Caenorhabditis elegans: one gene and its partners. The protein of the gene in region 3 interacts with the protein of the main gene of each other region in a pairwise test. Each region holds a gene or a part of one and is shown on either strand. Other genes may lie near its edges.

What was found.
Region 1: the proteins of syx-7 (region 3) and F17E9.5 interact in a two-hybrid assay, tested with the Caenorhabditis elegans proteins (one large-scale study listed by BioGRID).
Region 2: the proteins of syx-7 (region 3) and flwr-1 interact in a two-hybrid assay, tested with the Caenorhabditis elegans proteins (one large-scale study listed by BioGRID).

What each region holds. Positions count from the first base shown.
Region 1 is NC_003282.8:8,344,091-8,347,200, reverse strand, and holds F17E9.5 (DUF7087 domain-containing protein), read right to left. Parts: upstream 1,384-3,110; 5' UTR 1,319-1,383; coding exon 1,238-1,318; intron 1,105-1,237; coding exon 697-1,104; 3' UTR 655-696; downstream 1-654. Other genes in the region: F17E9.18 (Neuropeptide-Like Protein), read left to right, coding at 54-110, 161-310; lgc-5 (Neurotransmitter-gated ion-channel ligand-binding domain-containing protein), read right to left, coding at 2,716-2,868, 2,909-3,038, 3,083-3,110.
Region 2 is NC_003284.9:14,968,254-14,972,267, forward strand, and holds flwr-1 (Calcium channel flower), read right to left. Parts: upstream 2,019-4,014; 5' UTR 2,000-2,018; coding exon 1,929-1,999; intron 1,867-1,928; coding exon 1,747-1,866; intron 1,693-1,746; coding exon 1,567-1,692; intron 1,210-1,566; coding exon 1,026-1,209; 3' UTR 647-1,025; downstream 1-646. Other genes in the region: tbc-1 (TBC1 domain family member 23), read left to right, coding at 2,507-2,562, 2,613-2,688, 2,745-2,954, 3,020-3,177, 3,439-3,562, 3,608-3,693, 3,740-3,971.
Region 3 is NC_003279.8:9,001,276-9,005,727, reverse strand, and holds syx-7 (t-SNARE coiled-coil homology domain-containing protein), read left to right. Parts: upstream 1-1,764; 5' UTR 1,765-1,788; coding exon 1,789-1,864; intron 1,865-1,920; coding exon 1,921-2,000; intron 2,001-2,047; coding exon 2,048-2,125; intron 2,126-2,807; coding exon 2,808-3,098; intron 3,099-3,241; coding exon 3,242-3,337; intron 3,338-3,492; coding exon 3,493-3,618; 3' UTR 3,619-3,817; downstream 3,818-4,452. Other genes in the region: fcp-1 (RNA polymerase II subunit A C-terminal domain phosphatase), read left to right, coding at 1-129, 174-302, 571-726; F36F2.7 (uncharacterized protein), read left to right, coding at 4,148-4,231.

The DNA of each region.
Region 1 (3,110 bases), on a different chromosome or scaffold from region 3:
GTTTTCATATAAATTTACCATTTTTCGGTGAAGTCCAAAAAGCGCATCTCATAATGCAACTGTTCACCGCCTGCATCTTCCTTGCTTTCGCCATTTTCTCGGTTTCCGCGGTAGGCTGATTTCAAACTTTCAAGCAAAAGAAACGTATAATACTTTACAGCAATTCATTCCAACTAATCAAATTCTACCATCACTGTTCAACCCAGCTAGAAGAGCTCCTCAGCCAAGTTCATTCAATTTCATCCCATCTGCAAATGCAAGACATACCATCTATCGTCCACCGACTCCACTTGGATGGGGAAGAAAATGAATGTTTCTCTTGTTGGAGTTGGAACTAATAATAAAGATTATTGAGCATTTAGAAAGTGTTTGAATTATTCCAGTTTGCGAGAATCCTTGAAATAACCCAGCGAAACGAACAGCAATCATACTAAAGTACTCCAATAACCCAGTATTTGCTCAAAAAGTTGATAGTTACGATAGTTTTTAAGTAATCACAGAAGCCTCTCTTCGGACTAACCACAACAAAATATTACTCTTACAACAAGATGCTCACTCTTCTGAAACTACAGTAGAAAAGAGCACTTAGTTTTTCCAGGTTTTTTGGCGACCGAGTCTAGCAGAATTTGCAGATTACATTCCTGATCAAAAAGAGCAAGTAAAAACTTTTATTTCAAAAACCCCCAAGTATTCTTTCTACTGTGCTGGTGGAGCTGCAACTGGATCCTGGGCTGGTGGTGCAGTGGCGGCTGGGTCTTGTGCTGGAGCTCCAGATTGTCCCTTCTTGAACTCATAAGCTTCAATTCCGAGTTGTCCAACAGCGGCGAGCACGTGGATGAGCACGAAAAGTGAGAAGAATGCATGCCCAGAAACACACAAGAAGACGAAGATACCAGCAAGAGCTGGGACAAGAACCAATGCGGCAGACTTTCCACGAACTTCATTGTCAGACGAGGTAAGAACCTTGTTGATCTCCTCGCGACCATCAATGTTGAGAGCAATGTTGTGCGATGAGACGGCAACTGCTCCACCGAGGAAGATGAAGTAGAATAGCTTGGCAAGGAAATTGCAATCGCCGAGGGAACCGAACAGAACCATCAGGAGCTGCAAATATTTCATGATGTTCTATACATTCTGGAAAACGGGCAAAAGACCAAGAGCCAGGACAAGTCTTTAGAGGCCAGCCCTTAAAAACCAGGACCAGTCCTCCGAGGACCACGAACGGCACAGAACGAACCTCAAATGAAGCACACACGATGACGGCACCACGAGCGTAGAGCACGTACTTATTGAACTCGTACGGTGGGATTTGATCCATTGCAGAGAAGTAGTCGAGTGAGTAGAGAATCGGTGATTCGAGCAGAGACTGATTTGAATTACACATTTTCCGATCTTTTATACGGACGGATCTAGGGCAGATTGACCGTGGAGATAAAGAAAGGTCGAGGTTGAAGCGGAGAAAAAACAACCTTTATAAAAAAGTTTCTGGATGTTTTTTGGAATTATTTTTGAAATAAAGTAAAACATCACGGTCATCGAAAAAGAAATTAAAGAATTTCTAGTTCATCCGTTTCATGTAATTAAACAAGCTTTTTTAGTCACTTGAGGGAAGCCTTGTTCAATTATGAATATACCGATAACCGCGTGTTTTTAGCCAGCTGAATGCTTTCTAGTTGGCCTGGAGAATATATATAGGCCAAATCCAATAACGTTTGCGGAAAAAAAACATTTGAGAAAACCAAAACCTAATTTACCCTAATTTATAAAACCATAATTTATTTTGAAGTTAGTTTGCTGCAGGTGCGATAGCTTTACCATCCCTCACTCTGACTGCTTGACTTTTTGCACACATTAGAAAAAAAGGGGGTTAGGGTAGCTTTACCAAGGCGGCAAAGACAAAAATTGACATACTTGGTAAGCACTGAGTGTCTCTGCGATGCTTATATCCAGCGAGATAGATAGAAACATTATACAAAATCAATAGAATAGTCTTGAACAATGTAGAAAACCTAATTTAAAAATGAATGAGACTGATTTCATAGCCACAATGACTGAAAATAGAAAGACTCTTCCATTTTCAAGCACTTGCAAGTTGCAGGTAAGCTTATGGTCTGTTGTCACGTGACACCTAAGTTTTAATTGCCAAAAATAAATTCACAAAGATTCATTTACTAGTTTAATGACAGTTTCGTAGACAGATAAAACCGATCCAGTTCACAAAGAACCTATTTTCAGAATTTAGATAATTTTCACTTTTTCGAATTTTTGAAAATTCCCCGAAATTTTTTTAAATTTTGCTTTTTTTATAATTCTTGCAGTAATAGTTATGTTTTGATCATTTTCATATTATAGTGAATTTTCAACTCAAACGAATCACTTTGAAACAAGTTATTGTCAAAAAACTAAAATTGGATAGAATTATGGCCGGCACTGTAGAAGGCCTAGGGACTCTTGAAAATTTGTCAACCCCGCAGAAAACAATACTCTAAAAAAGTCCAAACATTCCATGTTCTCGCGCAGGAAAGTTGTTAATATAAATTATTCTTCACTAAAACCGATCATTTGTTTTGAGGGTGCTTTAGAGACGTTTTAAATATTTTTTAATTTACTGTCAAACAAGTACCCAATTTTTGCCACTAGGACTATCTATCCCTATGAATTGATCAAATTTTTTAAACGGGTAAATATAAATTTATTGAAAGTTATTTTTGATTTTTATTTCCAATATACAATTGTTATTACAACATTGGCAACTTGAAACAGAATAAGACACATTAGATCAGTTTTATCCAGAATTTTGAGCCAGAGCAACTGATTTTCATTAATGCGAGACATTTCTTGCAGAGTGTCACGAACAAGAAACGCAGTCTAAAATATATCAATTAATGTTCAAATCATGGTGGTTTACCTTATGTAATGACGACTTCAGAAGAGAAACAGGCGCAATGATGTTCTCGGGAACATCCATACTGGATACAGAACTGGTTTTAGAAGGGAATTCTTCCCTCATACAATCACATAGTACGAGACATCGTAACCTATTAAAAAGTAGAGATAATTAATTAATTATTCATATATTCACCATTTTGGAGGGCACGTTGCATTTGTGT
Region 2 (4,014 bases), on a different chromosome or scaffold from region 3:
AACTCTTGATTTTTTCTATCACTAATTTGTTTTTTTCTATCTCTAACACCCGAAGACAACACATTGTTCATTCCGCATCTCTTACTGCTTTAACGTAAATAAAACTTTTGAATGTTAAAACAGATCATTTTTAGTTGTTGTAGGCCTTTTAATTTTAGTCCAGTCTTTACAAAAGGGAGGACAGCCTATTGCTCTAAACTATGTAATATGTTTCTTCCGTTTAATACATGAATTTTTTCAAATACGAGGTGTCCCTCAAAAACAACTTCTGGGTAGAGTAAAACTGACACAATATTTGTTATCAAATGTTATTACAGTGGGAGTACCAATTATGAGTTTTCCCCCATGAAAACGTTTTGAAAGATTTGTGAGAAGTTTGATTACGAAATTCGTTAATTTTAGCACACTTTGAGCAACATATACGTTCAAATTTACGTTCGAAATACCAAGAACCATTACTCTTCCACTGTAAAATCGAACACCTCTGTAGTGTCCCGAATAAAAACAAGAGCTCCAGTTTTTGCATGTGCTCTTGTTTTGCTTTGTGCTCGCTATCAGTCATAAGGCATCATACCATGTAGTTTCTAGTTGTGTGATATAGGCCCACGGAAAGTTTGTTTTTGTGCATACAACTTATTATTGTGTAATGAAAACTACGAACCAATTTATTGTAACTTCACAACAGATCGTATTCGGTGCACAACTCGGAAATGAAACGAGAGATTCTCTGCATACAAATGTATAAACAAAACGTTTTGTTCAGATAATTGGGAAGAGATAGTGAGAAAAAAGGAAACTATCAATAAATAAAAAAGAAGAAAAAAAATCAGATCCAAACTAGTTGGTCGTGGTCAAATTGCATAGGAAGATAAAACGCTTAAGTGAGAGGAGGGGGGAGAGTAAAGCAGATGAGGAAAGATGTATGAGAAATAAATACTTGAAAACATAAATATATAGTGAAAATGGACAGACAAAGTGAAAATTACTGGATGGGTTGAGGGCGGGAAGAAATGACTTTTAGGAATTTATGGAATGTTGGATTGGTTGACCTGTGGGCTCCACGCCGGATCTCCAGCGGCCATCATATTACTGCGGTCCGCCTTTTTGCCCAACGCCATGAATCCGTAAATAACACCCGAGGCGAAGATGGTTCCACTACCAAGGATAGTGTTGAGCTCGATGCACAGGAAGATTGGAATGAGTCCCATGCTGAAAATTGGTATTGTTACAAGGAAGTCAAGAAAGTATTAAACATTGTTGTTTGTGCCCCGCTACACGCCAAGAGAGTATGCTAATTTGTCTTCTAAGCCGACGCGATGTGCACTTGAAAAATGTGCCTCTTGTCACAAGACATCAAAATTTAAGGTTCTTCGGAATATTTTACTACATATTCTTTCATTATGGTCTAGGTCTATGAAATTTGAGAAGAGAAATCATGCGAATAATTTTTCAATTAATACTATCTTAATACTAATCTTATCAAATAGTTTTTTGAAAAAATCATAATTTGAATGACCTAGTAGAACTGTTCTCTCTATCTATCAAAAAAAAAGAGCTGTCACTCACGCTCCGTAGATAGCAGCCTTGTGCCAGAGAGCACGCGATTCGCTGAAACGGGCAATCTTCTCGATGAAGTCGACGAATTGGCAGCAGAATGGGGCCTCCAGCGCAATGACTAATGCTCCAGCTGTCCTGAAAAAATTACAGTTAAAAGGTTTACAGTTGATTCAGTTGTTTTTTCCTTACATTTGAAGAAGAATGGCCACCATGCATGTCGCCGAGAGAGTGATCAGGCCGAGGACTCCGAAGAATAGGGAGAGGAAACCTCCGAGGATGGCGACTCCTTTTGCCAGGAAGCGAACCCACCTGCAACGAATTATGAAATCATTTCTCGTTTTTTTTTCTTGGGAAATAATAGGCTGACTCACCATGGAAACGCGGCATTCGGATCGTGTTCCGCTTGCATTTGCGTGCTAACTCCAGACGCGGCAGCCCCCATGTCGACAGAGAACAATTACCTGCAACGTGAAAATGTGCTTATTGATTTTTCAATAGTAACTTTGAGAAAACCGTTGAGAATTGCTATTTTCACGCGATAAGCTTTGGATTTTTAATCAATAATAAGTTTCCCTTCTTGGACTAATCATATGATAACTGAAAAGGAAGTGAAACAGAAGCGGGAGCAAGAAAAGATAAATGAAATCAGAGAGGAGGTGGCAAAGTGCGGGCTCACCCGCTCTTGCATGCGGCCGAAATGACACGGAGAGCGGGAGACGCGCAGAAAACCAACGCAGCAATGAACCGTTAAACAGCACGCGGGCCGGAATAACGGACTCTCGTTGCATCTTTCATGTGATTAATTGTTTTCCCCAGTGACTTTGGCTGTTTTAATTGTTCCTTATTGAATACTTCGAGTTTTATTTTTTAATTTTCACATGAATTTATGGTTTTCAGTAATGAATTACAAAAACTTTTGGTTTAATATTGATTTTTACAGAGTCAAACAATGGGAGAAACGGGACCAACCAATAATACAAGTTTCAGTTCGCTTGATGATAATTGGTAAGTTATTTTCGTTACAGGTTGAGCATATTTTATGGAAATTCTTACAGGGAAACTGATGTTAATGTGCTGAGCAGTGAGCTCGGTGATTTGGACACTGAAGGAAATGATAAATCAGATTGGATGGTGAGTTTTTATTTTTTATTTTTTTCCCTGATTTTTGATAATTTGAACATTTTCAGCGCCTACTCGGAGTCTCGATGAAACCAAATCCATTGGATGACTGGGATCAGCTGTACAATTTGAATAATCAGTGCGCATTGCGAAATGATTGCCGGAAACTTGCCAACGGTTTGAAGAACAAGAGAAGTGTTCCCGAGTTGGAGTCATTTTTGACACTTTATTGCAAAAAGAGGGGGATGGATTATATCAAGGATATCGGATGGTTGACGGTGAGTTTCTTTTTTTCAAATTGCAAGAAGCAATCATTTTATAGAAGTTAAAATTATATTTCCAGATCCTCGAAAAGATCCTTCTTCTCAATGTTCCTGCCGCCCACGAGTTCAATGTTTTCTTTGCATTCACCACGAAATATATTCCTAAAGACACCCGACCAGATGCTCAGATTTTTGATTTATTCCGATTGCTATTACAGTACCATGATCCTCAGATTAGGTTGGATGATCGTAAAATCAAGCTACATAGCGAGAACTTCAAAAAAAAAAAATTAGCAAATCCCTAGGTTTTTCTTTTTAGTGATAAAATATATGCTTAAAAATGACAGGTTGCTGAGCAGAAACTTTTTGCGCGGAGCCCCCCTGAGGGTTTCATGCTTGAAACATGTATTATATGGAAACGGTTGTGCAAATTATTTAGTGAAAGCAAATTCAAACGGCTCAGGTTTTAGATTTTATAAATATAAGAAAATATTTTTAGTAACCATTTGGAATCACTTCACTGCTCGCCTTCAATGTACACGAAAAACTGGTTCGCAACTTTATTCTCCAGCAGTATGTCCACAGAATCGTGCCATGAACTTTGGAAGTTATATATTGAGCAGGTAGGAACTGTCCATAAAGTTTCTGAAACAAAAAAAAATTTTCAGGGTGATCCATTCCTTGTGTTCCATCTTGCCATTGTCTTCCTCATCAATGCAAAAGATGAAATTCTGCAAGTGAAACGAGATGAAAAGTTTGTCTAGCGTCATGTTTCGAAAAAATAACTCAACTATTTACAGAGAAAAAGCTGTGCAAATTTTGGAGAACATGGCTGCCCAGCTCAGTGTCGAAGATGTCCCTGACTTTTTCCAGTTGGCACTTCATTACTCTGACAAGACTCCAGAATGTATTCGCAAAGATTTTCACTACATAATTTTCGGTGCAAATTTTGATGAGGAAGTCAAAGAGATTCAAATGAATAAGATGTTGTGTCTGCCGATTCCAGCAATCGATTTAACATCTCATGATGAGGTAAATACCCCGAGTTATAAAAAAAAAGATTGTCAGGTACACT
Region 3 (4,452 bases):
GAAATGGATGATGTTGAGCAGAATGGATCTGTTGAGAATCAATCAGGAGATGCTTTGGAAAACGAGACAGATTCTACATCAAGGGGACAGAAAAGAAAGCATTGTCCTGAAATGGAGGACGAGGAAGAGGTAAGAAACTTGAAAATAATTTATTCCAATAATATTTATTTCAGGAATCAGATTCTGATAATGAGGATGACGATACCCCTATGTCGTACAAAGCACTTTTGTCAGATTCACGCAAAAAAGGTCGAATTGTTCCAGAAAACGAGGATGATGCAGTATTTGATGTTGATGATGAGGTAAAAAGGGCGGCAAGTATAAAAAATTGAAAATAAAACGGAAAGTTTTGAATTTATAGTGGCTAAAATTAATAGTAGTGAATTTTTTGAAAAAAGTTAAATTTTGGCTTCTTGAGCTTAAAAATATCAATCCAAATCGTTCCAGTGTCTAGAATTTATCGAAAAATACGACATTTTATCGATATTAAACAAAAATTCAAAGAAACACGTGAATCATTATTCCTGCTTGGGAGATCAAAAGTGTTTTGAAAAAAAAAGACTTTTACAGAAAGGCCACGCACCAGCTAATATAGATGAAGAAGAAGATGACGAAGACAATGAAGATGAGGAAGTACCGGAATCTGATGATGACGATGAGTTCGAGGATATGGCTGCATTGATCGAACGTCAGATTAGCGATGCAGTAGATGAAAAAGATCAATGAGTTTTCTGTGAAATCATCATGTGCTATTATTGTTTTCATTTCCTATTATTCTTTCAGTTGTTTCCCATCTTTTACATCTCATAATTATCACCCCCGTTCCCCATTTGATTCGATACTCAATGTTTTCTGTACTATTTACCTCCATTTAAATGGGAATAATCTGACAATTAATGTCGGCTGCTTGATCAGAGTGATTTTCATCAAATCAATCAAAACTTCACTAGAAGCCTGCATTTTTGTCATATATAAACGTTCACGGTTTGGAATATAGATTGCTTTTTATTCACTTATCTTTTGCCTTTTGATTGTAAATTCAAGAAAAGTCTGTCACTATGGAGTTATTCATCTTTCGATTGCTTACTTAAATACCTCTATTTTCATTTTATCGAATTAATTTTTTTTTCTAAATCGCGTCATTGTCTCATTTCTTCTCTCGTTTCACGTTGATCGTTATTATTTTTTTCTGAAAATGAATGAGATTCATTTCTATTTTTCTTGCTGACGCTTTCGCAATGCCGTTTGATTCGGAAGTATGATTTATTTTTTTCGAATTATAGGATTAATGTATAGTATTTGTTACGCGAGACCAAAAAAAGTTTCATGTAACAAATGTAGTACAATGTTTACATTTCCACAAAAATCAATAATTTACAATTTGTATACAATTCAATGTGGTCTTATATTACACAATCAATCGTTTCAACAACACGTTTTGCCGAACTGGATTTTTATCGATCTTTTACTATTTCCTTATTATTAAAAGTTATTAAAAGCTATATATTCGCAAAAAGTTTTGAAAAAAATTGGTAGAGTGATTAGCTATTGAAAAAACTTATTTCATTTCCTTTTAGTGACTAGTTTATTTACCATTGCAGTGAAAGTTTATGAAAAAAGTATTTACTTTTCTCTTTTGAAAAGAAATATTTTCTCGCATTTTTTGTCTATAGAGCATTTTTGCACACACGCGCACTAAGCGCCTTTTTTGTATGTATTTTCAGCGGTTTTTATCGATTTACTCATTGTCAAGAATCTTTTCAGTTTGAAGCCTATCTCAAAGCCAGAATGGATTTCAATCGAGATGCCGGCAATGAGACAGCCAGTCAGCTTCAACTCAATATTCAGAATTTAAATCAACAAGGTTTGCACGAAATTTTTTATTAAAAAAAACACGTTGTACACTAAATTTCGTTTCAGTTATTCAATTGGAATCCTTTATCACAAATCTATCAGATAGCAGTGAATCAGGACAAAGAGAACGGGAGCTTTTCAATCGCGTTAGTTATTACTCTCTATTAATTAATATTACATTAAAATATTTCAGAAAGCTCATAATGCTCAGGAACTCTCGAAGGAAACCAATGCCCTGCTGAAAAGATTAGTTGTGATGAGCAACTCTGATGTGAGTTTCAGTATAAATTTTTATATTAAACTTTGGTGAAGGCAAAATTTTTCAATGAATTTATATTTTAAAAAAATTATCCTAAGGTTTTAAAATTTTATAACATTCAAAAATAAATCATAAAATCACACGATTTTTGTTAAATAAAAAAAACTTAAAAAAATAATTTGAAATAATCTTATTATCAAAATATATAAACTGGCATGTGTAAAGTGGCTTATTTTTTATTTTGTTTTTTATTCAAGCTCCTCCCATTCCTGACCTTTCGTTAAAGTTTGTATTTATTAGTTCATTTTAAAAAAATGGGAGGAGCTTAAATAAAAAACAAAATAAAAAATAAGCCACGTTTCACATGACAGTTTATATATTTTGATAATAAGTGGCCTATTCAAGTAGTATCGGAAAATTAAAAAGTGTAGAAAATGACGTCACAACTATATTAAAATACATGTTTTTGTATGTATTTGATTACAGTTGTGGCGCCATTTGTCTACAATTTTCCGACTCTACTTGAATAACCTCATAAATCAATTTTTAAATCCGAAATTTAAATTTTCTGAAAATTGATTTCAAACTCATTTTGTATTGATATTCATATGAAAATAGGAAATACACGTTTGGGAGAGATGTCTTTGAAGGAATATTTTATTATAGTATTATCAACAACATTAAAATATTTCAGAAGAACTTACGAGGAGTCCGAGAGCGTCTTCAAAATGAGTATATCGGAGTGCTCAACCGCCTTCAAGCATCTCAACGAAAAGCTGCACAAACTGAAAAAGCTGGAATGGTTGCAGCAGAAATGGATGCTCAAGCGGCACGTGATGCTGCCGAATACGATATGTACGGAAATAATGGACGAAGTGGTGGACAGATGCAGATGACGGCACAGCAACAAGGAAATTTGCAAGATATGAAAGAACGACAAAATGCATTACAACAATTGGAACGAGATATTGGAGATGTTAATGCGGTAGGCTTTATTCAATTGAAGTTATAATGACCAATTTAAAAATTATTATTTTTTAATTTCTATTAATTTCATTAAAAGCGGTTAGAGGATGTGCCATACGAAAAATAACTCTTCAAGATTAAGTAACATTAATTAATTTTCAGATTTTCGCCGAACTCGCGAATATCGTACACGAACAAGGAGATATGGTGGATTCGATTGAGGCAAATGTGGAGCATGCACAGATTTACGTTGAACAGGTAAAAATTCGGAGAATCACAGAATTGTTCGAGAATGAAGCGATGAAAACGAAAATCTGCAAAAAAAACTTTAATTTATCTAAAAATATACACGTTTAGGTACTTTCAAAGTTGAAAAATAGTGGGTATTCCATTTTAATAAAAAATAAATTAAGGGTGCTCAAAATGTGCAACAAGCCGTCTACTACAATCAGAAAGCCCGTCAAAAGAAGCTTCTCCTTCTCTGTTTCTTTGTTATTCTTATCTTTATCATTGGATTAACCCTCTACCTGGCTAAGTAATAGGAGTGTCTCTGTTCTGTGAATATGCTTCCTGTCCTATATTTATTTGAAAAACATACTGAGAATCGAGCTTTTATTATAAGTCATGTGTTTGTATACAGTCTAACCTAAGTCTAAAATATGTTCAACTCCTCAATTGTACTAACTTCCCTCTCGTTGCTTTTTTTCGAATTTTTCTCAATAAAATGTATTGATTGAATATGACGTACTGCTTTGACGTTCTTTTCAGAGAAGAAGAATGATCGGGATCATTTGACCGATGAAATGATGATCGACCGGGAAAAAATGAAATAAAAAACTTATGCAAATCCGATCAGTGTGGCAAACACGGGTTCGGCTCTAAACACGTTTTTTCTCCTTTTCGGAAAAAACAGTGATTTCATTTTTTCAGCCAAACCTAACGGCCGATTGACGCACTTGTGAAATTCTGAATTCGCACTACCGCCGCTGCTGTATAAAACGAAAAGTTTTACGCAAATCTTCTCTTTTCTTTTACTCTCCAACTTACTGCAGAACATAGACCTTTAAAATGGCTGAAAGTATTATTGATTTTGTGCTCGTTGCTATTATTTTAGCCGCCTTAGCGGTAGCTACACTTATTTTATTGTTTATGGTGAGTTTTATGATATAATAAGTATAAAAAGCCAAGATTAATAAATACTTCGTTTTCTGAAAGTTGAATGCTAAAAAAGGCCGGGAAAGGGCTATTTGAAAACAGTGAAGCAGTGAGATGTGAGAGCTACAGTACTCCTTAAAGGCGCACATTCCTTTTCGAAGCTTTCATTTAAACATTTTCAATCGTGTCACCACAACCAGGTACAACCAGGTAACCAG